3 linked regions of the Neurospora crassa OR74A genome follow. The protein of the gene in region 3 purifies or fractionates together with the protein of the main gene of each other region. This does not show direct contact. Links are inferred from orthologs where the notes say so. Each region holds a gene or a part of one and is shown on either strand. Other genes may lie near its edges. The genes, in order: pex14, pex5 and pex12.

Region 1 (9,874 bases), on a different chromosome or scaffold from region 3:
AGTGTTCTGAAAAAGCACCTAAGTCCTGAAGCAATGGCGAGGTGCGAGAAGGACTGTGAAGAGGAAAAGGCACGAAAAGCAGCTGCCACACTGTAGGAGTGGCTCGCTTACATGCTCATGACTGCATAGAGAAAGTTTTCTCTTGATTCAGAACGACGTCTTCACGAGTACACTTGTCTCGATTTCTCAGATGGCATCCCACGATGGATGGCATTTTCTTCTTCCTCGCAATACGGATTTTATTCGGATCTTAAAGTTGAACAAACCTTGGACGGTCTTGCGTCCATTGGCTCGTTTACAATCAAGCGTGGGAACACATCACGAATACTGGCTAGGAGTTTACAAGATACCAGAGCATTTACAGCGTTGGGAAAACGGGCTTCTAGGTCCTGGACGGGTCGAGAGCGGGGCCGGTTACCCTTTCCTTCTGGTAGCATGGGTCACTCGGTTGACGCACTCTATGAGAATACTCGTGCTGGTATGCGAATGGGCAGTCCATTGTTGGGTGTCATAAAACCACGGAGGTGCGCTTGGACTTCACAGTAACTAGCAGGATAGTGAGGGGATCCGGAGTTTTGTCGGCTTTTTGATCTATACCAAGGGTCGGTCTCGAATTAGACCACATGACTTTGAGTCAACGGGTTTAGGATTGCATACGGCTTTGAGCGGAATGGTATCTATCTTATTGTATCCCAATAAACCACTCTTTTACTTGCTCATGAAGCATGACATCAGTAGTTAAGCTAGAAATAATTAGTGTTCGGTTCATCATGTCGTGGTCCCGTGCTTTCGCCTGTCCCTTTTTTTTTTTTTTTAGAGATTCACGTTTCCCCTGGGCGTCACTTAGACACCATCCATAGTCTGCTCTTGACCTTCCTCCACCTCCACGCGAACTCACCCCATCATCACTGTAGCTATAACCATTTCCTGCGAAGTGGTGGTCTGCTGAGAGCTACTTCAAGATATGGCATGATTACATGTAAGCGACAATCTCGTGATCCCTGTAGACAAGCGAGGCTTTCAGGCTTCTTCATACTAGGAATGGGGGAGTTGTGAGGATATGAACTGATAGTTTCAGGCTTGGAAAGAGGCAATCACCGTTTTACGTAGGCATATCAGAACACGACAGTACACGCAATAATACATTAGTGATGGTCATTGGTGGTGGTCAAGGCCAAATTCAAACCATGCTACAGAGGGGAGCCTTTCGGACATCTGTTAACCTTCCCAAAACTATATCTTACAAGTTACCCTCCTTCTCCAATTCCTTCGGTCCCAGATCCTCTTCTTAATTTCCTACACCATCAGGTTCCAGAGTCTCTCGGAGCCATCCCACTTCCCTCCTGTTCCTTGGCGTTCACACATAAACCAGCAATCGGAGTTCCCCTCTCCCTGAGAGAATACACCCAAAGCCCAATGAAGTCGTCAAGCACAAGAGGTATCAAACAAGAACGGGCAGAGAGAACCCAATTCCCTTCAAGCCACCCTCGTCAGCTCGATCAAGCACCTCCGTCCCGCTTGGCATACTCCTCCTCCATCCTCTCCTCATAAAGCCGATCAGCTTCCAACTCAGCCTCGGTCTTGGGCCTGCTGCTGCCTGCTCCGGTGTTCACTCCAGCGCCGGTGGGCCTTTGGTGGGAGGAAGACTCATGCTCATGCTCCTTCTTGTCCTGAGCGGGCATGGAGGCGTTGGGGATGTTGGAGGTGGTGGTGTCGGAAGAAGACATCTTGGTGATGTGTTTTGGGGTTTGGAAGGGGTTGTTGTTAACTCAATCGACTCGAGTGTCAGAGGTGGAGATACTGCTTGAGCTTAATACAGTGATGATTTGGCCGGGTGGGGTGATTTAAAGTGGCTCCTGATTTGGTTGGAACTAATAAATAGACTCGAAGGAAATAGGCGCTTGTTGTGTGATGATGAAGATAGGAAGCGAATCAAATATACCCGTTGGGGAGAGTGTCAGGTCAAGAAAGACAACGGAAGGGCTGCCTCATGTGGCAAAGGTGGCGAGCATTGTGGCTACGCAACACCTGTATTGTACACGTCTTTTGGGGGTAATTGGGGTAACATCTCGCCGTATATACGACGGAACTTGTTCCTGCTTCTTCATGATTTGATGTCCGCTACAACTCGGCCGAACTCCATAGTCTCTAAGTCTCGACCCTTGGCATTTCCACTGGGTGCTTAGATAAGGTAGCAACGGGCTTTTTATGTTGATAGAACGTTACTTCAAGTGGAAGATGTTGATAGTGGGGTTCACCTGGAGATCCCGGTAAGTGATGAGTATACGACTAACACTTGCCCGCTTCGAGACATCTCGGAAGACGTTGGTCAGCATGTCTACAAGTGTATGAACAAAAAGGCGCAGAACAATTCATTCAGAACTATCATAAGGTAACATGCATACATGATCCATATGGTCAGCAAGATCCAAGCCCCTTTTATGTGTATAATGTCAACACCGATCGCCGACGCCCTAGTCACCCTGCTGAGCCTTATGCCCAAACAACCACACACGATAATTCACCAACCCGACATTCAAAGTTTTGCGAGATCTCCCTCTGAGGCCGGCACGCATTTTAACTCTATCCTCCTCCTCATCTTTTCTCTAATCTCCTCCTCCGTATAGGGGCTCAGCGTCATAGGATCCAGCTCCTTCTCCTCCAGCGTCCCCGACTTGATCGTGGTAAACGTGCTCCTCATCGCGCTCCGCTTATCATCAGCACCATCAAGCCCTCCCTCAGAGGCAGTCGAATTCGTGACCCTTGCGATAAACCTCGACCACCCCTCCATACACCTATCCGCCTCTTTCAAGTTCTTCAACACCATGGCAAAGCAATGCGGCATGCCCTCGTACTCCTCAAACGTCACAGAAACCCCTTCGGCATGAAACCTTGCTGCCGTGAACTTGTCCTCGTCCGACAGCATCTCCCAACCCGTGCAAATGTATGTCGGCGGCGCACCACGCCAGCTGGGTGCCAGCAAAAGCGACACAAGCGGGTGCATGATGTAATCGTCGGCGACGTACATGCTCATGCGCGGCGGATTCGTGGGCCAGGCCGAGCACGGGGCGCGCAACTTCTCGGCCTTGTCCTGCGCCTCGAGGCCAGGGAGGTAGTCGAAGGCACCGTTGGTGACACACGACGGCGAGCTGTGGGTGATTTCTATCCAGGGCGAGTTGACGGCGACGCCGGCGGGTAGGGGGATGGAGCGCTCATGGCCGAGCCAGAACACGGTGGTGCCGGAGCGTTGCAGTTGCATGATGAGCTGGAGAAGCGCGAGCGAGAGATTGCCGCCTGCGCTGTCGCCGGCGATGACGATGTGCTCTGGCTTCACGGGCTCGTGGAATGCCTCGGGCGGTGGGTAGAGCAGGCCGAGGTACGAGACTAGTGCGTCCATGACCGCGGCCGGGAACGGGTTCTGCGGCGCAAGCCGGTAACGCACCGAGTAACACCTGCCGCCGGTCCGCTTGGCTAGTTCTCTGCATGTAGGCCTGTGTGTGGCCGGGTCCATGAGCCAGTAGGCGCCGCCGTGAAAGTAGAGTATCGTGGTTGGGGCTTTTACGTCTTTCATCATCTCGTCATACTTCTCCCGTTCTGGGATATCGGGCAGCTTCGCATCTTTGGGCACACCCGGCCTGTGTGCTGTCCACTCCGCCTCCACAGGAAGAACTTCTGGTACTTGGATCCTGGCCGTCTTCGGTTGGTCACGGTCTTGAAGCCCGTCGATGGCCTTGCTCAAGGTGTCATGGATGGCGCGCGCATCCTCCTCCGTGGGGATGGGCAGAGTGTACTTGCTGACCCATATCGTGCCCCGGATCGGGGGTACTCTTGAGAGCATCTTTTGGGTAAAAGTGATGCTCCTAGGCTTGGGCACGTCCATGAACGAGCGGAGCATGGCAATAGTGAGTTCCGTCCGCAAATCCTGGTATTTTGACGCCGGTGAGGCCTGCAACATGTGAAGCAGAGCCACCCGGGCCATCAGCGGGAGCTTGGATACCAGCTGGAGAAAGAGAGCGGTCTTGTCCATGGCGGCGGGCTTCTTGGTGGGTTTAGAGGTGACGGATGGGTTTGGGTGTTGGGGTCATGGTATCAGATCAACAGGGGCGAGTTCTCTTCTTATATTAGACCCCGAGATCCATAATAACAATGGGGCATTTCGGGTATCTAGGGATTCCGTTTGTGTTGTAACAGCCTGTAGGCGCTCCTTGTCTAATCATCTTCTTGAGCGCGTCCGCGTGGAGATTGGGGAAGGCTTGCGAGCGCAGATATCTCAGCGAATCTGCGGGGTGGTAATATCATTTATCATTATATCCGGCAGGTGGTTAAGAAAAAGAGCGAGTTGTGAGAGCTAAGCGAAGAACAGCAATGCAGAAACAATACGTATCCAGAGCGACGGACTTGACTTGCATCCCCTTTGTGGCCAATATCCCCTTCGGGTTTGGGCGAGACGAAGGCGCTATGAGAACATTGGCACAGGAAGAAAGGGATGATGGGTGGGGTCAATGTTTGGTTCCAAGCAAGCATTGCCCGATCAAGTAATAGCTACGAGGACTATTAGATGCGATTGGAAACTGAACCATGGCACGAAGGTGTATGTACCTTGAACCCGGGATGTCTTAACAGAGAATATTCCGCATCCGACCTCTCGGGTACGCATATGCTACGCTGAGGTAATGATTTGGCAGCGACATCAATACCTACACTACAATGTATCCTTTAGTTCTCTACAGAGGCCGCGGTGTTCTGACTGTACCGATGTGGCTGAAAGTCCTGAATAGAGGGCGACATAACCAAAGCCAGTTGTCCCTCTTTGACCGTTTGCGCATCTCTATTCGATCATGGCTTTTTTTTTTTTTTGCCCCTCCCCTCCAGTTTTTTTGGGTGGCTGAGGACAATAACCAAAAATTTGTCTCGGCAATGCCATAGCAGCGGTCAAAATAGTGAGGCAGAAATACTGGGCGGTCAGGTGTACGGGATGTCTCAGATCAATTCACGGCCTAACCTTATAAGATGTGAAAATGGTAGCTTTTGATATCATGCTCTAGGAAAATGCCATGCAACGTCCGCGCTTAAAGACCTTGCAGAAATACAAACGCGCTATCATGGAAAGGGGACTGAATGAGGTTGTCCCATGCTTCACAAGTGCTCCTGTGTATTGTCCTGCTTGAACAACGTACAGGAGCTTTATTACTATACAGAAAACCAGAGGGAGTCGCTCACTTTGGCCTTATGCTCATGCCGATTAATGTATCCAGGTTTCCCAGTTCCGGTGCTATTTTATCTTTGTGCCTGACTGGAGAACAGCTTTTTAAGCGGCTTCGTCGCCTCCGTTGCTGCTTGAGCCATCGTTTGTAGTACCGTTCGTGACTCCGACAGTCGAAGCCGACGCGGTTTTGTTGGCCATGGCCAACTGCCAAGCAGGGATAGTCGGCTTGCCTGCAGAGGCAATTCCGCTGCTGAAAGGCGAAGGCTTGGGGGCAGCAGGTTGAGCGAACTGCTGTTCCTGCTGGTATCTGGATTGCTCATCCTGCGCACTCGCGGCTCTGCTGTTTAAGTCTCCGTTCTCACCGCCGAGGGCTGGCGTGGCAGGGGCTGAAGAAGGAGTGGCGTTTCCGTTAGTATTGGGGCGAAGGTAGTTGTTGACGCTCGTCGAGGTGGCGGTTGGGTTCATGCGTTGCGAGATGAGGGTCTTGAGGCTCTTGAGTTCGGTATTGAGTTCGCGCAGCCTGTTGTCGGTCAAGTCCTTCTGGTTGTTGAGTGCCCTTGGAATCGAGTCCCTGAGATTTTGCACATCGTCCCGTACTCTCTGTGCTTCGTCGTCTCTGCGTCTGTTGGCTGCCTTGAGGTCCCTGACGACAGTCTCCAGCTCCTCGAGGGCATTGTCGAGTCTCTCTGTCCTTTCCTGCTCCGAGGCCTTGAGGATTTCGGTATCCTTGGCCAGCTGCTCAACCAGTTGGAATGTTTTGTCGAATTGTTCGTCGATGGACTTCTTGTCCTGCTCGAGACGCTCCGGCGTGGGAGGAGCAATCAAAGGATACACATAGCGCTGCCGAACGGTTAGAATTTCCTTTTATGTACATTGCACGGTGTTCGGCGGCCTACCTTGCCGAGATTGTATAGGCCGTACGACGCGCCTCCGACTACGGTCGCCAAAATGAACAGGTCCCTCCAGTCCCGCCTGACACCGTCGGTATTCGATTGCGGCCATGCGTATGGGGGATAGCCATAGTACTGCGGAGAGCCACCCTGTGCTGCGACGGGTCCGGCCGACTGCGCATAGGCGGGCGACTGGGCGTACGGTGGCGGTGGACCTCCTGATTCGGCGCGGGCGAGAGCAGCGCTGACTTCTTCCTGGGTGAGGTTCTTTGCTTGGAGAAAGGCTATCCGCTTCTCGATTGGCGAGGCGGCGACACTGGGGTCTTGAAGAACTGTGGTGTTGTTGTCGGGTGAGATTCTGGCCTGGCAATGTAGAGGAGGTAGCAGGGGACAAGACAGGGGCAGAACATACACTGCGCCGCCGAAGCGACCAGGTCCTCGCGGATGGCCATGACTGATGTTGTTTGATCGAAATGCGGCAGATGGCGTTCCCTTGTTGAGACTGGGCAGACGAGAGGAAAGAAGCAGACAGCTGAAACAGTCGCGACGCGATGGCAGACGGCGGCGGTTGATGGAATGATTATCGAAGGACGGGAGGCTGAATGCGATAGATGAAGTGGAAACGAACTGACTGGCAGCGGTTCGGGGGATGGCTGGGCCGCTGGATGGAGTCCTGAAGCCGAGGTTCACGGGACCGGGGGCCTGATTGTACACTAGACGTGGACTGCTAATAGCACCTTAACAGCTTCGCATCACTTGCACCCCCAGCACACTCGTGGAGGCATGCTGATCAGATAAATCACTATCTCCTCCCCTGACTCTCCTTTTCCTCCGACAGGCCTAGAGCGCAGCTGAGCATCCATTCCATGCAGTGACTGGCTCAGAGACGGGAGTGCAGAGCTGAAAAAGCACTGACCTGAAGCGAGCCAACACTCACCCTCAAGGTCGCTTTTGGACCCACTCCCGTCATTCACCTGCCGTCCCGATGCTTGGGGACGAGAACTGGAGTGCACTTGGCACTGTTCAGCCCAATGATTTCCACAGCCCCACCCACGTCGCCTTTCTTTTGTTTACTCTTCCTGACGGAGCAACCTCCCCCACCATCCGCAGAAGTCGACAACCTAGTCCCGTCTACACTACGGTGTCTTAATCTACCTACATACCTATGCTGGCCTGCATTAGGTTGCTGGCCGTACACGTACTTTTATCGCTACGACACGACGAAATCCGCGACTGCGGTTATGCATTGATTTCTGTCAGAGCCGCGAACACGTACCCACATTAACTCGAGCGCATACCTTAGCTCTACAAAGCTATCCGACATAATCACCACCAAGAGAATCATCGCCGACATCGATCCGACACAGTTGCACGTAGTGTAACACTCTTTTGTTCGCTTGCTTATATATTATCACGGAAACCACGCGACTAGGACGGCAAAAGGGAGGCGCACATTGACGAGGCCTTTGCCGTCATGTCGCAAGACAGCAACGCAGGCCTTTGGAGTGTTCGACGGCCAAGGGAGGTGCGACTTCCCCCCGTGACTTTCTTTGCGGCGTGTTTCCTCGGTCGAAACCTCTCCCCATCCGACGCGACCATGCACGATATTGACTCTGCTCTCTCTGTAGACTCTCCATGGCGTCAACCTCACGTCGGGCATTCCGGCACCACCCTCCACACTTAAGCGACAAAGCACCATCGGCACAATAGGAACGGGCCATGGTCGCTCTCTGTCGGGGAGGCAATCTCTGGCCCTCCCGCGACCGAGCCAACCTCTGTTCCAGCGATCCTCCGACATTGGCCTGGGCTCGGTAAAGCGCGCGTCGGTTCATAACATGAACACGTCGCAGTTCAAGCCCTATGGCACCCCAGGCAGTTCCGGTATTCCTCGATCATCGCAAGAACTCGACCGGCGAAGCAGCGTCTACCGCCCAAGCGCACGACCGTCGGCCGTCGGCGGAGGTCCCTTAGCTGGTGGGCATATGAGCTTCTTCCAGCAAGCGCCCCAGCCCGCCGGCGTGCCTCGCGATCCGCGCCCCCTCAAAGACCGTCAATTCCAAAATCGCATTGGCCAGGAGTTGCTCGAGTACCTCGCCAAGAACAATTTCGAGATGGAGATGAACCACAAGCTGTCCGACAACTTCACAAAGTCGCCGACACAGAAGGACTTCAACTACTTGTTTCAATGGCTTTACCACAGGATAGACCCGAGTTACCGGTTTCAGAAGAATATCGACCAGGAGGTACCACCATTACTCAAACAACTGCGATACCCATACGAGAAGAGCATCACCAAGAGCCAAATCGCCGCGGTCGGAGGTCAGAATTGGAGCACCTTCTTGGGATTACTGCACTGGATGATGCAGTTGGCACAGATGCTCGAAGGATACGCCCGACACCAGTACGACGACGCCTGTATGGAAGCCGGGGTCGACATTGCGGGCGACCAGATCATCTTTGATTTCCTCACCAGCGCATACCAGGATTGGCTCAATATGGATGACGAAGCAGGGGATGAAGACGTGGAGAGGGCACTACAGCCGCATGTGCAGGGAATGGCGGAGGCTTTTGAACGGTCAAACGCAAAGTACATCCAAGAACTGGAGATTCTCGAAGGGGAAAACGCCCGCCTGCTAAAGGAGATTCAGGAGCTCGAAAAGTCGACACCCGACCCGGCCATCTTGGACAACCACTTTAAGATTATGGAGGAGGACAAGATCAAGTTTGAAGAGTACAACACTCTAGCCATGCAGCGGACAGAAAAGTACGAAAACCGTATCCAGGTTCTCCGGGAGGAGCTGGGCAAGTTGCACGTGGAGCTGAAGGAGGCCGAGGAGGAGCGGCGACAAATGCAAAAGGCGGTGGACGACCAGGGGATCAGCATGCAGGATATTGACCGCATGACCTCAGAGCGGGAACGTCTTCAAAGGAGCATCGAGTCCGCTTCCCAGAGGCTCGAAGACGTCAAAAAAAAGGTCGCCGAGCGCGAGATGGAGGCGAGCCAGCGTCTGGACGAGCTCGAGCGGCTGGTTGAAAAGTACAACACGGTCGCCTACCAGATCGGACTGATCCCAGCCACGGCAGTCAATGCCAAGGGGAAGAATCTTGAACTGCAGGTAACTGTAAACGAGGGAACGCCCAACTTTGCTTCATCGATGCAAGGTGTATTGGGGCCAAACGGGCAGCCACTGGGCGGCGTGGAGAATGAGAGGTTGCTGGCCGACTCCACGACGGGATACCAGCCTGCGCATATCCTGAACCTGGATCTCCGAGGCCAAGTTAAGAACACCTTCCTGGCACTCAGGAAGGAGGTCTCGGAGAGGAGAAAGGTAGCTATGGATGTCATGATGGAAGACCATGACTTGCTCGATCGCGCTAAGGAGGCGATCGAAGATAAGCGTAATGAGGTCGAGGCTCTCGGGCATCGGGTGCGGGCGGCAGAGGAGGAGTATGAGAAGACTAAAGAGGTGATTAATGGCCGCGTGTCCTACGTGCTCGGTATCACTCATGCTAACAATGAGGTCTAGGTCACCAACGCCCAGAAAATGGCTTCAGATGCACAGATTGAGAAGATGGAGAAAGAGCTCGCCAAGATGCGAGCACAATTGTCCGAGTCTGTGCAGCTTATGGAGCAGAGGGAAATGAATACCAACATCGAGTAGGTTTGCCATGACTCTTTCAGGAATAGAACCAGCTGTGCTGACAAGTGGACAATAATAGGTATGAGCAACTCACGCTCCGAGCCAACGCACTTCGCGAAGAGCTCCACACGGAGACC
Region 2 (9,996 bases), on a different chromosome or scaffold from region 3:
AACTGCGCTTCTCTTGTGGCATACGTCCAGACTGTTCTTTGATTCGATGATAGGAACCACATACATGCCGATTTCATACCACAGGTTGATGAACTTGCCTATAGTGCCCCGGCACTGTTTGCAACGGCAGAGCACCAGCTCCGCCATGCTGAACTATGGATATCGAGGGCAAGGTTAAGCGGCCTGCTGCGAAAGAACTCAGGTGTTCAGGAATGAGAAAGGAAAGATATGGTGATGCCCCGCGTATCGGGAGATCAGAACCGTGGAGCGTGGGCGTCGGAATCAGATCACGCACATTGTTGCTTGAGCTGAAATCGAATTGGAGATGTGCTGGGGATGACTCGGGCAACTCAACTGTGTACACTGAAGGAAATTTTCACATCATGGGAAACGTGGACGCTCATTTTGGTTCTCAACAATGGACAACAAAGGAAGGAGCTATCGTATAAGTCGTTTGATACTGTACTATGTAGAGATGGTCTTGGCAATACAGGGGACCGAAAGCTGTAGGCGCCACCTTCTTGGACGATAAGATGTGGCTTGACTACCTACCACTAGGTATGCCCGATAATGACAGTGAAATCCGCCACACTGGATGCCACAGTGGGGCTCTGCCTGCCTGCAAACACTGCGCCGTGAGTCGCTCCACCCAACCTTGGCGTGCCTGGGGTTTGACAGGCACGAACAAGGGTGTCTTTCTTTTTGGTTTGGTCCGACTTCAGTGACTTCGTGCCAACTTCAGACGTCCACTTCCATCAATGTTCAGTTGTTTTCCCCAGTTTAAAACCTGAACACTTTCGTTTCACTTTCACTCCCTAATTCCTTCTCTTTTGCAATTTCTTCTGAGCCTGCACTTCCGTGCAATTTTCAGGTCACACTCCCCTCAGAGGAAGCGCAGTCATCATGAGCAGAAAAAAGAACAAGAGTAAAGGTCAGCGCGGCGTTGCGGCTGCCTTGGCCACCTTTCAGGGCGACTCTATGGCCATTGATTCCGAAGTCACCAGCCTTCAGAATTCGACTGCTCCGACGGACGGTGAATTGACGTCAACCACAATTTCGGCTGGTCTTAAACGGCCATGTCCCGAAGATGACCATGAAGACGGCGGCGGCTGGCAGACAATCGAAAATGGCCGGCCGGTAAAGAAACTCAAGAAGATTCCTGGCCAGGAATCCAAGCGCTATCCCGGCATTCACTTTTCGACCCAGGCCAGGCTTTTTTCCAAGATCAACGTCTCTTCTTTACGCGACCTGATCCTGTACATCTTTGCCGATGGCCCTGCGCCGCAATGGGTGTCTGTCAAGCATCGCCCCGAGTTCAGAAAGATCGTGGCCATCATGGTACCGGGTCTTGACGAGGCCATGTTCAAGAACGGTCTTGACTTCTCCGCCTACACCGGTCCCACTCTTGATCAAGCGATCTCCGGTGGCGGCGCCCCTGATCCTGATGAGTACTATCCACGCGAGCTCAAGAAGGAGCTGTTGCCCGAAGTCCTGCAGCCCTTCGCCGACATGTTCCCGCATTTGTGGCCTGTAAAAGCTCCAGGTGACGACAAGTATGGCAAGTTGCACTCGCCAATGCCTGCAATGCTTACCGCGCCCCTGCCCAAGAGCAAGGGAACGGGAATCCAGCCCGTATCTGAGCCCCACGGCTGGAAAAATCAGCGAACACGCATTACCGAGTTTTTGGCCACCAACGAGGAGCTGATGGAGCATGGCTTCCCCGTTCATCCAGCTATGCTGAACCCAGGGGAGAAAAAAGACAAGTTCAAGGACCCCGAAGGCTGGGTACACACGAGGGTCGAGAATCTTGAGGATGGAAAGGTCCCCGAAGGCGAAGTGCAACAGGGCAGTGTCACCGCAGGCCGGGAAGTCTATGCCCTCGATTGCGAGATGTGTATGACGGGGGAAGCCGAGTATTCACTTACCAGAATCAGCTTGGTCTCTTGGGACGGCAGTGTTGTTCTTGACGAGCTTGTCAAGCCGGACAAGCCTATCATTGACTATGTGACCCGGTTTTCAGGTATCACCAAAGAGATGATCGATCCTATCAACACGACATTGAAAGATATCCAGGCACGCTTGCTCGACATTCTTGGTCCTCGCTCGATTCTCCTCGGACACTCGCTTGACTCTGATCTTAAGGCCCTCAAGCTCGCTCACCCCTTCATTGTCGACACCTCGCTTCTCTTCCCGCACCCTCGCGGACTTCCCCTCAAACAATCGTTGAAGTACCTCGCACAAAAGTTCCTCAACCGCGAAGTTCAAAAGGGTGGTGGAACCAACGCCGGACACGACAGTATCGAAGACGCCAAAACGTGTCTCGACCTTGTCAAGAGGAAGTGCGAGAAGGGCAAGGCATGGGGTGCCGGAGAGAGCCAGGGCGAGAACCTCTTCAAGCGCCTCGCTCGCGCTGGTACGGCATATCGCTCGACCGCTGGGCCGGAGGCCACGGGCGGTGCTCCTGTCGGCAAGAGCAGCGCAGCTGTTGACTGGGGTGACGTAAGCAGAAGCGCCGGTAACGCCGCCACCGTCACAATTTCCTGCAAATCCGACGCCGAGGTTGAAGCCGGCATCCTCCGCGCGGTCAAGGGTGATCCCGACGGCCTCGAAGTTCCCGGCGGCGGTGTCGACTTTGTGTGGGCACGCATGCGTGAGCTCGAGGCCCTCCGAGGATGGTGGAACCGCAACAAGCTCGTCCCCGAGGACGCTGGCGGCCCGCCGGCTCTCACTGATGGTGATAAAAAGGAGGAAGAGGAAGAGCAGGAGGATGCCGCATCACCCCTTGAGACCTGCCTGAAGACACTCGGCGAGCGGTTGAAGCGCATCTACGACAATCTCCCGCCCTGCACGGCTTTCATCGTCTACACCGGCACTGGTGACCCGCGCGAGATGAGCCGGCTGCAGGCCATGCAGGCCCAGTTCAAGAAGGAGTACAACACGCCTGGCTCTAAGTGGGACCAGCTTAGTGTGCAATGGACGGACAGGGAGGATCAGGCTCTGCGTCGGGCTCTGAAGGTGGCGAGAAGCGGCATTGGCTTCATTGGAGTTAAATAGGCTCTGAGCTCTATGCCCCCGAGTGGACGCTGGAGAAAGAAGAATTAATATCTGTGGGAGGTGGTTTCAGGGTAGCTGTTGGCGTGAACATGGTTATGGATGGCAGCGAAGAGGTTCTTAGATGACATCAAGACAGTATAGACCTTATGGCTTTGCTTGGTGCGTCAACGATGGTTTATAGAATATCGTCAAGATACATACTTCGATGCCGCGGGCTCTACGAACATTTACTTCTCTTTACGAAGTTTACCATAAATTTAGAGAAGGCGACGTCTTGAGTCTTCAGCATCTATTGCCAATATCACCGTTTTGTTAAGGTTCAGTGATACACGCTGTTGACCAAGAGCCTCAGCTTTGCACACCTTCATTGGATCTACTCTTCTATTTCTGGTTGACGGTAGATACTAGCAAGATGGTGATCCCAAACTTGTGGATATCAAAACGAGCAAGGTATGGCAAGGACACGCAATGCAGATTCTTTCAGAAGCCTATGTATCGTATCTATCTATGTATGTGTCTGTGAACACAATCCGCTTTTCTCCGCTCACCATCGTGAAGCAAGAAAGAAACACACGACACCCAGCAAATGCAAAACCAGACTCACCACTAGCCGAAAAGCACCAAGCCCCATCTTCGACTTTTCACTCCCCAACACAAGCTGTTAACAACCCCGACAAGCCAGCTACATTCGCTTTGTACAGTACTTAATATTTGTATATTCACCAAAACTCCCTATAATCATCCGAACATAGTGTACTCGCCTCACTCGACAAGTAACCCTCGTCCAAGTCCTCATCACACCACTGCTGCTCCTCCTTCAAGGCCTTCTCCATTTCGACATCAACATCGTAGTAAACATCCTCCATAGCGTCATACCCAACCATCCACTCCTGAGCCTCTTCTTTCAACTCCAACTCTGACTCACTCTAGAAATCAAACTCACCACGGAAGATCTCGGGATCCACGCCCGTAGTAACCTTCTCCGCCAGATCCCTCCGTCCCATCTGCGTGAACACGCGACGGAGAGTGTCGTAAAGGGTCGTGCTCCTGTTCTGCGTCATCATGTTATCGATACGCGAGTCGCTATCACCCGCATTGCCGCCCAGCAGCTCGCGCGCCTTCTCGCGTCCGCTCTTCTCTACAGACTTGTGCATGTCCAGCGCCGCGAGCAAGTGACCCGCGGCCTCAGCATGGCAGCCAATGTTGATGCACGAGACGCCAAGGTTGTAGCGGGCGCGGACAAAGTTGGGGTGAATGGCGAGGGCCTTTTCGTAGGCGGCGATGGCCTCCTCGGAGCGGCCGCTGTTGGCGAGAGTGGCGCCCAGCCGGTTCCAGAGCAGGTGGATCTGTTCGCGCTGGTTGGAGGTGCCGAGCTCGGTCGAGTGCAGCGCCGACTGGAAGCAGTCGACGGCCTTGTCGTAGTCCTCGGCGCCGTAGAACAGGACGCCTAGGCCGACCTGCACGTCGGGGTCCATGTGATCGCCATCGGGAGCGAGGCGGGCCGCCTCGAGGAAGAGGTTGGTGACGCGCTCGTGCAGCTGGGCGCGGTCGGTGAAGCCCATGTCAGCGGCCGAGGAAAGGTTACTGGGTGAGATGACGCTGGGGTACTTGGTCGACAGCCAGCGCTCGAGCGTGCGGTAGGCGGTGCTGTCGTAGCCCTCGTTGGTGTAGGAGACGGCTAGGCCCATCATAGCAGAGAGGTTGTTGGGGTCGAGCTTCATGGCACGCTCGAGAGCACGGATGGCAGCTTCTTCCTTCTCGTTCTGGGCTTGCGTCTGTCCGAGGTAGACCCACGCCTCGGTGTGGTCGGGGTTCTTCTGGACCGCAGCCTCGAAGGCCAGAGCAGCTAGCGACAGGTTCCCGCCCTCCTTCATGATACGAATACCCTCTTCGAATGGGTTTGGTGTCTCCCTGAAGAGGTTATCTTCCTCGAAGAGGTACTCTTGCACGATAGGGTCCGCGCCGAGCCTGCCGTTCAGCGTCCAATCTTCCTTTTCCAGGTTCTCACTGTCGAACTTGGCAAAGTCGTCCTGGACATCAATCTCGTCCAACTCCTTCATGGCGTCTCTTTCGGCCTGGATACCGCGCCAGATGGATTCGAGATCGCCAGCACCAGTCTCGGAGTGAAGTAGCGCCTCGTCCATCTTGTTGAGCTCGGGCTCCATGGCGCGGGCCTCGTCACCATTGATCTCCAGCTGAGCAAAATGCTCTTCCCACTTGTTCTGGTCGAGCTCAACAACTTTGCCCTTACCCTTGCCCTCGGGCTGTAGTTGTTGCTGGGGAATGTTGTGCATCTGAGGGCCGTGCATGCCGACCATGGGCTGGTACATGGGTCGCTGCATCATGTTGTAGTTCATGTTGCCCATGCCCATCATGCCACCACCCATCATGGGGCGCTGAGCAGGCATCTGGCTGGCGGTGGCCGGCGCCGCGGCGGGGTGCATTTGCTGGAACTTTGAAAACTCATCGGCGCTGAACTGAGTGCCAGGCGGCGCATTGAAGGCGGCTTCCATAGCCGCCTGTGTGTTGTGGAAGTCCTGAGCCCATGCTGGCGAGGCGTTCGGGGCGCGCATGTGGGCGCCTTGGCTCGGGTCGAGGTGAAGCATATGTCCTTGTTCGAGAGGCATATGAGCCATCTCCGGCGTTTGGTTTAGGAATCCGTTCACCATCTGTTCGAGAGGATCGTCATGTCAGCCAAGAGCGCATGCCTTGCCGTCAACAATATCCATGAAGATTCCTTACCTCATCTTGGCCAGGCCCGCGGTTAATACTCCGGAAGCCACCAACCGCAGCATTGGGACCTCTGTTGGCAAGTCTGTCATGTTGGAGGCTCTTGTCGTCTCCAACATGCTTGGTAAACTGACTGAGCGGGTTGCCCGCCGTCGAACACTCGGCTCCACCCATGAAAGACATTTTGAAGATGTTGGATATTAATGCGACAATGGCGATGTTTCGGCGAAAGTTGACAACGAAGCCCAAGACAGAAGACAAGATGGGCGGCTCTTGTACACTATCTGGTAGACGAAGTAGAGCGCTATGCGGTCGACTGTTGGGAAAGCAGCGGCCCGCGCAAGTTGTAGAGGCAGGCTGGAAGTAGCGGTAGCTAGGTAGATTTTTGCGCAGGGCAAAGGAAGGATGACTTTAGTTTGGAAGAGGGAAAGAAAAAAAGAAGTGGAAGTAACAAACAAGCCAGGCACGGGCGTGGTGAGCTCGTGGAGTTGATTAATTAGTGATCAAGCGGCGGTGTCCAGAACTGAAGTTGTCCAGGTGAAAGAAAGAAGTTGACCGACTCTCGCGGGATGTGTGGCAGGTGTGCTGTCTTGTAAGTAACGACGGGAGCCCACGGATGCACGGGCGGGTTGTCTGGGTCCGGCATGTGTGGATGGCAGCAGCGTGGTTAGAAATCGGGCTCTGCATGCATCTGAAGTGAGTTGGAACCTTGGGCGCCAAAAGCTCAGGTCACTCAGGGGCACAAGGGGGGCACCGCCGTGCGCCACCTGAACAGCTGGAAATGCCGAGGCAGCCAGGGCACCTCAGCCAGCCATCATATCCACCTCACCGCGCTCTTGTTAGGTCTTTTTGGGCTGTGGCAGTTGCCGGCCACACCTCAGGCACTTGTTGCCTGGCCGCGGCTATTACTGGTAACCCCGCCAATGGAGTGTTGTCAACCACACCTCACATGGAGCCGAACCCCAGCCCGGCCCGTGGAGTACACCCCCGCCCCCGCCCCCGGATCCATCATCGATCCCTTCGTTCCTTCAAACGACAGCCGAGAACAATCGGACGACAGCGGAGTGCGGAAATCATACTCGCATGCCGACAGCACGGCAATGTACGCAAGTTGAAAGGGAAAATGAACAATCAAACGATGCGTTTCGAGCAGATCGTCACGTCACGCATACGGGATGCAGGACGCAAAGAAGGTACAGAAGACCACCCCTCTATTCGTACATATGTACAGCGATATAACCAACAAAAAATGGTAAACGAAAACAACTAGTCGCAGTAAGAAGAAAGAAGAGAAGATTTTTCGTAGTTGTACAGGTATCATTGCAAGCAAAAGGTCAGGATGATGTACGCAGAGTGATCGTACTGCAAAGGCGCCACAACACCAATCCCACAGTTTCCCAATCCCAATGTGCCCCAATTTTGGCAACATTTGTCAAGAAACACAACCGGCCTCTTTTCTTTTTTGAAAACCGAACTTGCCCAGTTTTGCCCTCCATTACATCCGTTTCCCATCCTCTTCACCCAGTCATGTCGTAACCATTACATGCCCTCGATTGCGGCTTGTTAGTTTAGAACTCGGTGGACTCGCCCTGGTCGCGGCGGTTGTAGTTGCGGTCGCCACCCTCGCGGTTGTAGCTGCGGTCGCCACCCTCGCGGTTGTAGCTGCGGTTGCCACCATCACGGTTGTAGTTGCGGTTGCCACCCTCACGGTTGTAGCTGCGGTTACCGCCGTCGCGGTTGTAGCTGCGCTGACCATCGCGCTGACCATCACGCTGCTGACGGGGGCGGTACTCGCGGCGTTCGCCGTTGTTCTCACGGGGCTGACGAGCAGCGGCGGGCTGAGCATAGTCAATCTTGATGGTCCTCTCGCCGAGCTGGGTACCCTGGAGCTTCTCCAAGGCGTTGACGGCAGCCTCAACGTCGACGAAGTCGGCGTGGGCGAAGCCACGGGGCCAGCCGGTAGCACGGTCAACGGCGACGCGGACGTCCTTGAGACCGTCAATGCCGACGAAGATGTTGTTCAGCTCGGCATCGGTGGTCTCGTAGGGGATGTTGCCAATGAAAAGGCAGGCAGAGGGCTCGCCGACGGCGCTGCCGCGGTTGACCTTCGCACGGCGGGGCTCAACGCTGATGCGGCGACCGTGCCAGAAAGAGCCGTCGACTTGGGAGCAGGCCTCCTCGAGGGCCTCACGGGTGGCGAAGGTGACAAAACCGTAACTGTGGACACAATCTGTTAGCGTAGTTCAATGTGGGATACGTAGAAAGGACTCCAAACTTACCCCTTGCTCAAGCCGCGGGGATCACGGGCAAGGAAAACGTCGGTGACATTGCCGAACTTCTCGAAAGCGCCCTTGAGGTGCTCCTCGGTAGCGTCGAAGACAATGTTGCGGACGAAAGCGGCGTGGCCCTCAGTGGTGTCCTTCTGAACAGCAGCCTCCTCGGTAGCAGCAGGGGCAGTCTCGGTCTCGGTCTGCTCGGGCTGAGTAGGCTCCTCGGTGTTAAGAACACGGGGAGACTGAGAGAAGAAGCGGATAGCCTGGATTCTGCTGGAGACAAGAGCAGTACGGGCAATGCTGGCGGAAAAGGACGCAGCAGGAGCCTGGGTAGAGATAGCCCTCGAAGCAGAGAGGGCGGATCTGAGAGCGGCACGACGGATGGACTGCCTGAATATGGAGATATCTGGTTAGTAACTGATGTGGGATGCCGGTCTACCTGTCCGTTCCTTGACTGTTACGCCAGGAAAGATATTAAGCAACTCGAACTTACATTTTGAAGTATGGGGATGAGGATGGATGGATGGATGGGCAAAAAAGGGTTGTTGAAAAGAGGTATCGGGAAGACAGGAAGCGTTTGCCTGGAAAAGAATAAAAGTCAGTCGACCTCAAGGTCCCGCTCCCGAGTCGGGGTTCTCAGAGTGGACTCTCCACTGCCTATGGTTGGAGTGCTCTCATCCGCCGCTATCAGAAAATTCAAGCAGGGTTGAGGCGGCACACTGAGCTGCATAACCGATTGGACTAGCCGCCTTGGGAAAGGTTGCTATTACGGATAAGCTTATCGGACGTGCCTGACTCTGTGCAGCACGCGTCAGTGAGTGCAGGCTGAACGGTGCAGTGTGTAAATCCCGTCGCTACCTCTAGAGGTCTAGTACTGACGGTTCTTTATCTATCGCTATCAGTTGTCCAACTTCAACTTCACCTGGCACTTTACAAAAACACATCTCAAACCCACAATCACGGCGACGGGTTGCGCATAGAAAATGACTTGAGATTTACGCTCGCCAACATATTTGGACTTGGTCTCATTTGAAGGTCTAAGGCTTTCTCTATCAATTCGCAGGACATCTCTTAGGGCTGGTTGGCCCCATATTCCCCAACGTTCTGGTCTGTCCCCACCAACCATACTACGTCAGGTTCATGATCCAAACCGACCGGATCACTACCGGTACTTGAGCGTGCTATGCGCCATGGTCCAACTCGCCATCAGCGGTCTCCAAGGGATGTTGAGCGTCGAGCGACATCACACCACCCCCATATCTACTCCCCGTTTTGGAACACAGCGCGCAGGTCCTCCCTGCCGCTGACGCTGCCAAGGGTTGGCCTCCTCGACTTCCGCAAATGCTGATGGCGATGAGATCTAGAGGCTGAACTGGGCCCTAGCGTCCTGGGACCCGAGTCGAGTTGATGGATTCGATTTGACGCAGTTTTGTTGGACTCTGCGTTTCTGGGATCCGTAGTCAGATTTTGGTAAGTTCCTGACTGAATGATGCTGGGACCTCGATCCAGATTGACTGGATGGGATCTGAGGGGGTCGAATTCGAGGGATATGCCATGTCGCGAGGCTACCGGCTCCGGTTCCGTGATGATGATTTTGATGTTGTTCCCATTCCTACGATTGTCACTTCGGCCCGTCCCAGGCTTTCGTTCTTTCCGTTCCTCGGACGCTTCCTGCTCACTGGTGTGGGCCAACAATCTCTCTTCGTCCGCCGCGTTTGTGGGTAAGACGGTGGATGAAGAGGTCCAGAATGGGCGGTTCCGATTCTTGCGGAAGTAATTTGCCGGCGCGAAACGCATGTTGGGAGATGTGCTTTCAACTGATGGCAAGTAGGTGTTGATGGTGTAGCTTGACGGACTGGGTTGTCCATCCTCCCTGTTCTCAAGATCGTAATACTGACGAGATTGACTTTTTCTGCTATATATAATATAACAAACAGCC
Region 3 (9,877 bases):
GCTTCGACTACCTCCCCATCCCCATGCGCACCATCATCGACCTCGAGCGCTCGCGCTACGTCCGCATCCCCATCTACATCGAATACCAACAACAATCCGCCAAGATGCACTGCCACTTTGGCGTCGGCGTGCAAGCCCCCGCCACTTTAACGCTGCCCAACAACCCTGCGCTCTCGTCCTCGTTGAACATGAACCCGTACCCTCCTCCTACGCCAGGCACCAACGCGCACGCCACCCCGCCCAGCCCGCCGCTGCCTACCCGCGACGGTCAACTGCGGTCAGCCTTCTTCGGACGCACCTCGCTTGTGCCTAGACTGTATCCCTACGCCGTGTCGAAGGTGTATGATCTGCGTGAGTACACGACGCGAAGCAAGTGGGGACCGTTCCGCGCCGACGGGAGTGGTAAGGTGGATTGGGAGAAGGTGGAGGCGATCCTGTTGGTGCTGAGGACGAATATCAAGCTGAAGGAGCTGGATAGGATCCCGATGGTGGGGAATGTCTGGAATACGCCGTTTGCGGGATGTTGGGAGGGGAGTCTGTGTGGGTTGCCGAGGGCGGGGAGTAACGGGAACGGGAACAACAGCAGCAGTTCGACGACGACGACGACAACAACAGATGGGGACGGGCAGGGACAGCAGGGACAAAATGGTCCGATGGGGGTGGGAAGTGGTTATGCGGGTTGGTTCTTGTGGGGGAATAATACGAATACAACGCAGCATGAGGATTGGGCTTCGGATGTGGCGAATGATGGGGCGGTGGATGATATGGAGGGGGAGGAAGAGCAGGATGGGGATAATAGTGATGGAGATTTTGCTGCAGAAGAGGAAGAGGAGGAGAATAGGGATATGAAGTTGGAGATGGAGGATCCGTATGGGGTTTCGGGAGTTTGGTTGAGGGTGGTTTGTTTTTTGGGTGAGTCGTCCTTTTTTTTTTTTTTTTTCCCACTGTCTTTCTTGGTCGAGAGGAAGCTGATACATGGTGCCAAAAAAAAAAAAAAAAGACTACACCGACTTCTTCTCGTTCAACTTCCCCGACGATAACATGCCGTGCCCCGAGAGCGTGCCGAGGCCGCCCCTGGACGTGGGCGAGGCAACCAAGTTGCTCATGATGAAGATCCACGTCAACAGAATCGTCTACCCCGAGCCAGGAACGGAGATCAAGGGGAAGATATGGCCCATTGTACACTGGAGGGGATACGCTCGGTCATTTGATGGGTCTCCTGGAGAGGCGCGCCTCACTTGGGGATTGAGAGGTGAGTTCTTCATAACTAAACTCCCTTGGACAATTTTCAAAAAAAGAGATGGATGGATGGATGGATGGATGGCATATTGACAAGGGCAAGTTGTAGGAGTCGTGCAAATGACGCCCGAGGGCGAGGTCCGGTGGACGACATCTTCGCTGTATGATGGCGAGGAGAGATGGCGGAGCGAGGGGATCCAGATTGGAGGTGTCAAGTCTGCTCGTGGAGTGGTTGGGAATTGGTTTGACAAGTAGGTTATCATTCCATGTCCGCCTTCGTCTTTGGATGTTTGTTAACCATGTGTTTCTTGATTCTTGTAGGGATTATAACCCCCATGGACCTTGTGGGCCTACGGCGTTTTGGAAGATATCGGATTTGGAGGCTGCGCGGCCACGGGGCGGTCATGGAGGCGGTCAGCAGGGGGCATAGTAGCTTGTTACCTCTGTATGTCTTTTTTTTCTTGGAGTTTTGTTTGAAGCGTGGATGGCTAACAAATCGAGGCTTAAACATAGCATGGCACCAAGTAAGCTTTATGGAAACGGGACCATATTGACACACAGATAGATACACACACACCTTGCCTTGCATTTTTTTTTTTTTTCACATCATTTGTAACTACCATCATATTTGCCTGCAAATATCTACTTACACCATCTAACAACAACACAAATCCTACTCTCTTCCCAGAAGAAAGATCCATCTCCCCAGTTTCCACCCCCTCCCACACACAGCAAAGCAACGCAAGACAAAGCAAAATCAAAGCTTACTCCCCCCCTCCGCCCCATCCGTATTCACCTTGCCATGCTCACAAGTAGCCACCAGCGCGCCATCCACCGCCCTCCTCATCTTGCCACTAATACTCGCCATCCGCTTACCGAGCGCCACCACCTCACACTCGATAAACACTTCGGTGCCCACGGGGACAGGTCTTAAGTACGTCGTGTTCAAAGACCGACTGACGCCCAGGGAGTACCAGAACCCGGGGCGGGAGACGAGCGCAAGCGGCATGCTGGTGCAGTAGTCGAAAAGCGTGGCGATGCAGCCGCCGTGCAGGGTGCCGTTGCGGTTGCAGTGGGAGGGTTGGACGACGTAGCGGAAGTAGGACTTGGGGTGGGGAAGACCAGAATCGGCCGAGATGAGTTTTAGGTGCGGGAGGAGGGGGGTTGTGTAGTCCTGCTTGTCATGTTAGTTTGTTATGTGGTAAAAGGAAGGAGAACTCTTATGGAAGAAATTAGGGAAAAGTGAAGAAGGTACTGTAGTAAGTGAAGAGTGAAGAGTGACGCACATGATCGCTGATATCACCGCTAGAAGCCTTTTCGAGTTCTCGTCGGTGTAGTTCGAGTATTCGTTGCTCGCCCGTGTATGGCAGTAGACTTGGGTCGACGGTAGTGCTTGGTGGTTGTACTGGTACTGGTGCGGGTGCTGGTGCGGGTGCGGGTGCTGGTGCTGGTGCTGGTGGTGCTGCACTTCTTGGTGGCTGCTGCTGCTGCTGCTGCGGGTGACGACTTTGTGAATGTTGACTTTGTGGATACGGTAGTAGTGGTGGTGGTGCCGGTTGCTGAAATTGCTGATATTGTTGGTGTAGATGGTGTAGATGGTGCAGATGATGATGTGGATGTTGATGTTGACCACCACCACCGCTCTTTGGTGGTGTTGCTGGTGGTGGTGGTGGTGGTGGTGGTGGCGGTGATGCCGACCCCTTTCTTCCTTCTTGACCACCGGCCATAGTATTTTCTTGCTCCTCTTGGGATGCTAACGAAACAACAACGACTTCAGATGTCTTTACTGGGCGATGATAAGTACGGATGGTCATCTTTTATCTCCGTGAGCGACGAGACGAGACGATAAGACGGGAAGGGAAGGGAAATAAGAATGATAAGATTGTGGCTTGCAGGTCCGGTGTTTCACTGTGCCGTCCGTAATGGGATGCGCGGCAGGGAAGGGCGGTTGTAGATTGCCGTTAGTAGAGGTAGTGTAGTCTCGTAGTGTGTATGTAGGTAGACGGGAGGGAGGTAGGTAGTTGCCTTGGTCGGTGTTGGTTAGTATCGATGTACCACACACACACAGGAACCGGCAATAAGTCAAAACAGGGAAGTAGTAGGTAATTTATCAATGTAGTGTTACCGGCGGTACAAGTAGTAGGTAGTAGTAGTAGGTATGTGTAAAAGAGCGGGATGGAAACAACACCGACAACGGATGCCCGACAACTCGACGGAATCGAACCAAAGCAAAAGAGGAGAGGGGGGTATCCATGCCTGCCGTGACTACCTAGCATAGTAGCAGTAGTCTACACTACACATCACAGGCACAGGGGGGGATGATTGGGGATGAATGGGCAAATGGGGTAAACTGGCGGGCATCCGTTGCAACCCATTTCTTGGGGTACATGAATGACCTGACAGCCTCGGCTACCTGGCAAGGTCCAAATGGCGGCGGCGGCAAGCAAAAGCAAGCAAGCAACTACACTAGACAGCGACGGGAGCACCCACAGGCCTCCACTGCGCTGCCCGACTTTCAGCTGTCCACTCACAGTGCTACCAAGTGCCACTTTTGATGCGTCGCGGCATCCACTCCTTGGCCCCGGTCTGAGTCCCCCCCCCCTTGTTCGAACTTCCAGGAGGTCGAGGTCCAGGTCCATCTCGCCCCGTTTCTTTCAATTCATCCCAATTATATCGTGAACTTGACTTGACATCAACAAATCCATCGATGGAAACCACGACGGCGATATAATACTAGTAAAACGTCACACCGACCCCCTATCACTACGCGCGACACTGGAACATACCGAAAGAGGAACCTCGAACTCACCCCCTCTCGATACAACCGGCGGGAGCCTATCCCATCCCATCCCATCCCGCCCCCGATAACCACCAGACCGTAACAATACCCAACCGGGCACCGTCGCAACAACCATGGAATTCGTCACCGCCCTCCGCGGCACCTTCGACGACGGCAAGCCCTCCCTCTTCGAGCTTCTCTCGGAACAACAACTCGCCTCCCTCCTCCCGCCCACCCTCCGCTACCTCCTCACCGTGCTCACCCACCGCTACCCGCGCCACCTGCTGCGCATCCTCAACTCCTTTGACGAGCTGTACGCCCTCGCGGGGCTGCTCGTCGAGCGCCACTACCTCAAAACCCGCGGCGGCAGCTTCACCGAGCACTTTTACGGCCTCAAGCGCGAAAAGGCGCTGGCCGCCGAGATCCCGCGCGCGGCCTCTTCGGCGCCCAACCTCGTCCGCGACGCCCTCAAGCTCTCCGATGTCGACATCTGGAAGAACCTGGCCGTCATGGTCGGGATCCCCTACCTGAAACGCAAGCTGGACGAGGCCTACGAGATCGATGCGCCGCGCGCCATGTTGGGCGGCCAGTACACGCGGCCGCCGGCAAAGGGGGCCCCGATGAAGGAGCGGTTCTTGTATTACTACCGCTGGTTTCTACGTAAAGTGTACCCGAGCTTGAACGCGGCGTATTACTTTGCCATCTTGGCGTTTAACCTGGGGTATCTGTTTGACAACACAAAGTACCATAACCCGTTTTTGTGGCTGATCGGGACGCGCGTGCGGCGGATGAACGGGGCGGATTATCAGGCGATTGAGGCTCTAGAGAAGGCAGCGGGGGCCGCCGCCGCTACCTCCAGATTAACAGGGGGGTCGATGTTCAGTCCGAGGAATATGAGTCGAAGGCTGATGGGCGGTCTGTCGCTGGTGCTGCCGACGAGTATTTTTGCGCTCAAGTTCCTTGAGTGGTGGTACGCTTCGGATTTCGCCAAGCAGCTGAGTCGCAAGGCGGCGGAAAGCCTGGATCTGCCGCCGCCGACGGTGACGGGGCTGGTGGAGGCGCAAGCGAGGAATAAGCCTAAACCCAAGATCACGAGGACGTCGGAGGATGGTGTGGAGGAGAAGGCGGATGAGGATGATGAGGCAGAGGAGGAGGCTAGCAGCAAGGAACCAACGCCCGAGACGGCGCCTATAGCGGCTTCGACGCTGTTGCCGATTTTCACGGTGCCACCACCCAAGAGATCTGATATGTGCCCTATTTGCGAGGACGAGATCCAGACGCCGGCGGCGTGTCAGACGGGTGTGGTCTATTGCTTTTCGTGCATACACAAGTGGATGAGCGGGACCCATGTCAGGCAGGAGAAGTTCATGACGAAAGAGCGCGAGGGCAAGTGGGAGAGCGGAGAGGGGAGATGTGCCGTCACAGGAAGGAAAGTGCTGGGAGGGACGGAAGGGCTGAGGCGGATCATGGTTTAGCCGGAAAGAAGATATTGAGGATGATGGATTGGCATGAGTTGTGAAAAGCGAACATTAGACATTATTTAATGGTGGCATATAATCTGGCAAGTTGCATAACCAACATACCGCAAACGAACATGTAAAACTGGACATGCTTACTGGTCAGACAATCAGATTCCTCTATCACCTCGTGGTCGATGAAATGTCAACAGCCATCTTCTTTTTTTTTCTGTACTGCCAAACCGGATGGTTCACGTACGAACAACACGAAGCTCATGCAAGAAAAAAAAAAAAAAAAAGGGGGGGGGGGATCAGAATGTCTATCAACACCGTTTCAGTAACTCGATTAATCTACCTGTACGTACTTCGCGAATCCAAAAAGGCAAAAGAAAGATGCGGTTTGTGTGGATCGAACACACGACCTTCAGATTTATGAGTGAAGTGGACTTCAGTCTGACGCTCTCCCAACTGAGCTAAACCCGCTTTGTTGTTGGACTCTAAGTGCCAAACCTTAACTCATATGGTAGCACCTACCACTTTGCCTGCCATGTTGACCAAATTCGCAATGAAAATGGAATTTCCCATCTTCCTGTATGTCTGTCTACGTCTTGCTTGACGATAATTTCTTTCAGATTACTAGCTAGTCAATTATTTGCCGTGATGAGAAGCGCTATCTAGTGTAGTTGATTTTACTTCAAACCCTGTAGCAAGTGGATGGCGATGTGATAGAGTTCGGTAGGTAGGTAGGTAGGTATTATTGCGATGCTTCTCATTGTATAACCATATACATACGACCACCAGTGAATATTCTGCCTTTCTCTGCCTGAAGAACGCTGTCTTGACTAGGTAGCTGTCTATGGAGAGAAAAAGAGAGAAAACAAAGGGGTAATGGAAATGGAAATGCATAGAGTGTATATATACCTCTACCGAACGAAGTCCTCGTGCGAGGAGTATAGTATAGTAGATAGAGAAGAGAAGAGTGATATCTTGTTGCAAATGCGCTCCTCCCTCCCTCCCTGAAAAATCAAAGGACGGTCTCCTTCCAGCAGTTCCCATTGAAAGTAAAGCAAAACAAAACAGAGAAGATTTAGAAGAGAGGTAGCTTCGACGTCCATAATAACCCCGTCTACATATGTTGTAAATGTAAATCTAGCCCGAGCTACTGCAGTGTAATTCGTTCCCCGTTTCCCCGTCGCGCCATGCCATGTCATGATATCTGCCCACCCAGCCAGCCAGCCCCGGGACGCAGAACTCCTCTTTGCTTGCAAAACCCACGCACGCATGATCCCGATCCGTCTGTCTATCCCGTCTTTGAAAGTAAGAAGAAAAGAAGAAAAAGAAATGATAATAACAAAGTGACCACCCATTCATTCATTCATCCATAAACCGCAGCGAGGCAAGCCGGTCAGTCAGTCAGCAGCTCACTTGAAAAGACTCCGCAAATCCATCAACCGTTGCTTTGCCGCATCCGTACGATCCATCACCTGTCCCTTATCCCTACCATCCATACTCAAGCTCGCCAACTTCTTCTTCTTCTCCTGCAGCCTTAGCATCTTCTCTTCAAAGCTATTCGCCATGATATACCTGACCGTACGCACGGGCCGCTTCTGACCGAGGCGGTGCACGCGGTCGACCGCCTGCGCCTCCGCCGCCGGGTTGAACTGGGGCTCCATCACGTACACGCTGCTGGCCGTGGTCAGGTTGAGACCGAGACCGCCGGCCATGATGCTGACGAGTATGACCTGCACCGAGGGGTCCTCGCGGAACTTGTCCATGGCTGCGGTGCGGGCGGTGCGCGTCATCTTGCCGTCGAGGCGGGTGAAGGTGATGCCGGCGTCTTCGAGGGCGAGTTCAATCAGGTCGAGATGAGAGGTCCAGCCGGAGAAGACGACCGATTTGTACGGGGGCTCGTGGGGCGCCGCCTCGCTCTTTTGCTTGTCGGCTAGAAGCTCGGCAACGAGTGCGCGAGTCTTGGTGTGGGGTCCTGAGTAGGCGGTGAGGTCCTGGTTTGCGTCTCCGTTCTCGACCTTGGCGGTTCTCGATTCGTGTTCGGCCATGGCACGGGCGCGGTGGAGTTCTATGCAACCAGGCCTGGTCATGCCAGAGCACGTAGGACACGCTTCGTTTTTGATGTGGTCAACGCATTTGTTGCAGTAAACGTGGTAGCAGTTGGCCTTGACCATGTACCCGATGATGTCCTCCTGACGCTCAGATTCGACGTCCACCACCTCGTTGGAACCCAGCTTCGTGTTGCACCTAGCACAGTTATCGCTGTTTCCTTCCTGCATCAGGTAGAGCATCTCGTAGGCCTTGCTCTCAGAGAGGACAAGCTGGCCGGAATCATCGTCACTATCGATATCAATGGCCGTGTCTGCCGTCATTCCCTGGAGCTCTTTAAGGTCTTCTTCATTGAGGAGATCCTTGCCGTGAGCACAGATAAGGCGAAGCTGCAAGATGGAACGCAAGATGTGAATCATGGTCTTGCCTCCAATAATGCGTTCCTGACCGATGGCTTGACCGGTCAAGACCGAAACTCGCTCCTTTGCGGTCTTTGCAAACCAGTCATACACCCGTTGCTCCTCGGGGGTAAAATCAAGCCTGATTATCTCGTCCGTTCGTGGCGGAAGGTTGATCTTGTCCTTCAAACGACGCAACGTTATTGTGTCGATGAGGACGCGAAGCTTCGGTACGATTTCGGGATCGGCATTCTTGAACGGAGCAATTATGTATTGCAAGAATTTGATCTTCTCGTCGAAGGGCTTGACGCGCAGAAATGCTAGGAGCGAGGCCAGATCCTCGAGCTTGTTCTGGATTGGCGTACCAGTGACAGCCCAGCGGCGGCTTGCTTGAAGCCGGCAAATCGACTTGAACGCCAACGTGTTTTGCTCTCGGATCATATGTGCCTCGTCCAGCACAATGCGGAACCAAGCTATCTCCTCCAAGGGGTATATGCCAGCCTTGTTCTTGGCGCGGGCGTTGAGTTCGCTTGAGATCGATCCGTAGGTCGTGATGACGAGGTCGTACTGTGCCAGTTTCTTCACGTCCTTCACACGGTTGGGACCATGATAGATGTGGTAAGACAAGGTGTCGGGTTTGATATGCTGCTTGATCTGCTCCTCCCAGTTCGTAACCGTGCTCAGTGGGCAAACCAAGAGGGTTGCCTTTCCATTCAATCGCACCGGCGTTAGGCCCATGGCCTGAGGTTTGGGCACCTCAAAGTATCTCGCTGCATTGGGCTGTTTCTTCTCAGGCGGCTTTGGCGGCTGCACAGGAGCTTCAAGACTCCAAGCCGCAGCCTGGTCCATAGTTTTTGTAATGAGTGACAAGATGCTCAATGTCTTGCCGAGACCTGATTGCGAACTGTTAGTCTGAACATTCGTAATGGGAATAGACGAACAACTTACCCATCATATCTGCCAGAATACCTCCCAAGGCTGGCGGCGGACGCTCTCTCTGGTTCTGCATAGTGACAACGTTGTAATAAAAATCGACTCCGCGCGGATCCTTTCTGCGCTGCCAAGTGGACCGTGTGAGTTTGTCACCATAATCCTGAATCAGGTCTTTCTCACGTTCAGTCATAAAGTAAAGGGCTTGCTTCTGATGCTTCAGAAGCTCAGTGGTAATACGCGGGTCTGGCTCCATCTGCTCCAAACTCTCAGATTTCGGAAGTGAGTCAAAGACGCTCATTACTTCGCTGCGAATTTCCTCAACAGTACGAACGGTTGCCGAATGATGCAATGAATAGGAGTTTGTTCCACCCAAGCTATTAGCTCGGACTGGAGGGGCCGGCCTATTCTCCTTCGCATGAGGGTTGAAGACCTTGATACCAGGCTCGACGCGTGGCGGGCTGAGAAGGGCGAGATGATGTCTAGCCAAGTGGTTTCCGATCTGGATCGCGAGCTTGCGAGGGCCGTAGAGCATGAGTTCGAAAGGGACTGCCGCCGAGATGGACTCGCCGATTTTCTCGTTGGGGCCGCTCTTACGTCTCGGTGGGATCCTACAATCAGTACGTATTCCCATGGCGGATGTCAGGAGGTTCCCTAGACAATACGACGTCTTAGCGTCAAGATAACCAAAGACGACGCGAGTGCAATCGTAGGCAGGGATTCTATTCGTCTCGGTGTCATCCACTCGCTTTCTGAGTAGGATTTTGATCTGCGGCCAGTATCCGTCGCCAAGAAGAGACACCATGCCAGGCTTGGGAGCAGGGACTCGGTGGCAGTTGATGGTAGTTCCCTCGATCATACCGTAGCAGACTTCTTCATCCTTGGTCAGGTCGAGCTGCTGTCGAGGTTGAGCGGTTTCTGAGTCGCCCTCAGTCAAGTCCACTGTCTCAGTCTGCCTCGTCATCATGGCCACTGGCGTAGAAGCCCCTGGAGTGCCATTTTGCCCGAACTGATCC

Evidence for each region.
Region 1: the proteins of pex12 (region 3) and pex14 purify together in Saccharomyces cerevisiae (affinity purification with mass spectrometry; 5 studies listed by BioGRID, with this or other methods). This does not show direct contact. The link is inferred for Neurospora crassa OR74A from reciprocal best matches to the Saccharomyces cerevisiae genes PEX12 and PEX14.
Region 2: the proteins of pex12 (region 3) and pex5 purify together in Saccharomyces cerevisiae (affinity purification with western blotting; 4 studies listed by BioGRID, with this or other methods). This does not show direct contact. The link is inferred for Neurospora crassa OR74A from reciprocal best matches to the Saccharomyces cerevisiae genes PEX12 and PEX5.

Annotation. Positions count from the first base shown.
Region 1 is NC_026506.1:2,096,558-2,106,431, reverse strand, and holds pex14 (peroxisomal membrane anchor protein), read right to left. Parts: upstream 6,963-9,874; 5' UTR 6,549-6,962; coding exon 6,509-6,548; intron 6,429-6,508; coding exon 6,103-6,428; intron 6,047-6,102; coding exon 5,309-6,046; 3' UTR 4,947-5,308; downstream 1-4,946. Other genes in the region: NCU03905 (hypothetical protein), read left to right, coding at 1-96; NCU03904 (hypothetical protein), read right to left, coding at 1,500-1,727; NCU03903 (lipase/esterase), read right to left, coding at 2,537-4,027; NCU03899 (HEC/Ndc80p family protein), read left to right, coding at 7,571-7,621, 7,725-9,563, 9,624-9,754, 9,817-9,874. UniProt on the Saccharomyces cerevisiae protein: Component of the PEX13-PEX14 docking complex, a translocon channel that specifically mediates the import of peroxisomal cargo proteins bound to PEX5 or PEX21 receptors.
Region 2 is NC_026501.1:8,567,611-8,577,606, forward strand, and holds pex5 (peroxisomal targeting signal receptor), read right to left. Parts: upstream 6,509-9,996; 5' UTR 5,968-6,508; coding exon 5,797-5,967; intron 5,724-5,796; coding exon 3,981-5,723; 3' UTR 3,506-3,980; downstream 1-3,505. Other genes in the region: NCU02961 (exonuclease), read left to right, coding at 904-3,054; NCU16466 (nucleic acid-binding protein), read right to left, coding at 7,353-8,001, 8,064-8,447, 8,551-8,552; NCU02959 (hypothetical protein), read right to left, coding at 9,318-9,950. UniProt on the Saccharomyces cerevisiae protein: Receptor that mediates peroxisomal import of proteins containing a C-terminal PTS1-type tripeptide peroxisomal targeting signal (SKL-type).
Region 3 is NC_026504.1:5,621,895-5,631,771, reverse strand, and holds pex12 (peroxisome assembly protein 12), read left to right. Parts: upstream 1-3,827; 5' UTR 3,828-4,152; coding exon 4,153-5,493; 3' UTR 5,494-5,882; downstream 5,883-9,877. Other genes in the region: NCU05243 (hypothetical protein), read left to right, coding at 1-912, 1,001-1,252, 1,349-1,490, 1,561-1,669; NCU05244 (thioesterase), read right to left, coding at 1,997-2,413, 2,526-3,053; NCU05246 (DNA repair and recombination protein RAD5C), read right to left, coding at 6,897-8,824, 8,880-9,877. UniProt on the Saccharomyces cerevisiae protein: Component of a retrotranslocation channel required for peroxisome organization by mediating export of the PEX5 receptor from peroxisomes to the cytosol, thereby promoting PEX5 recycling.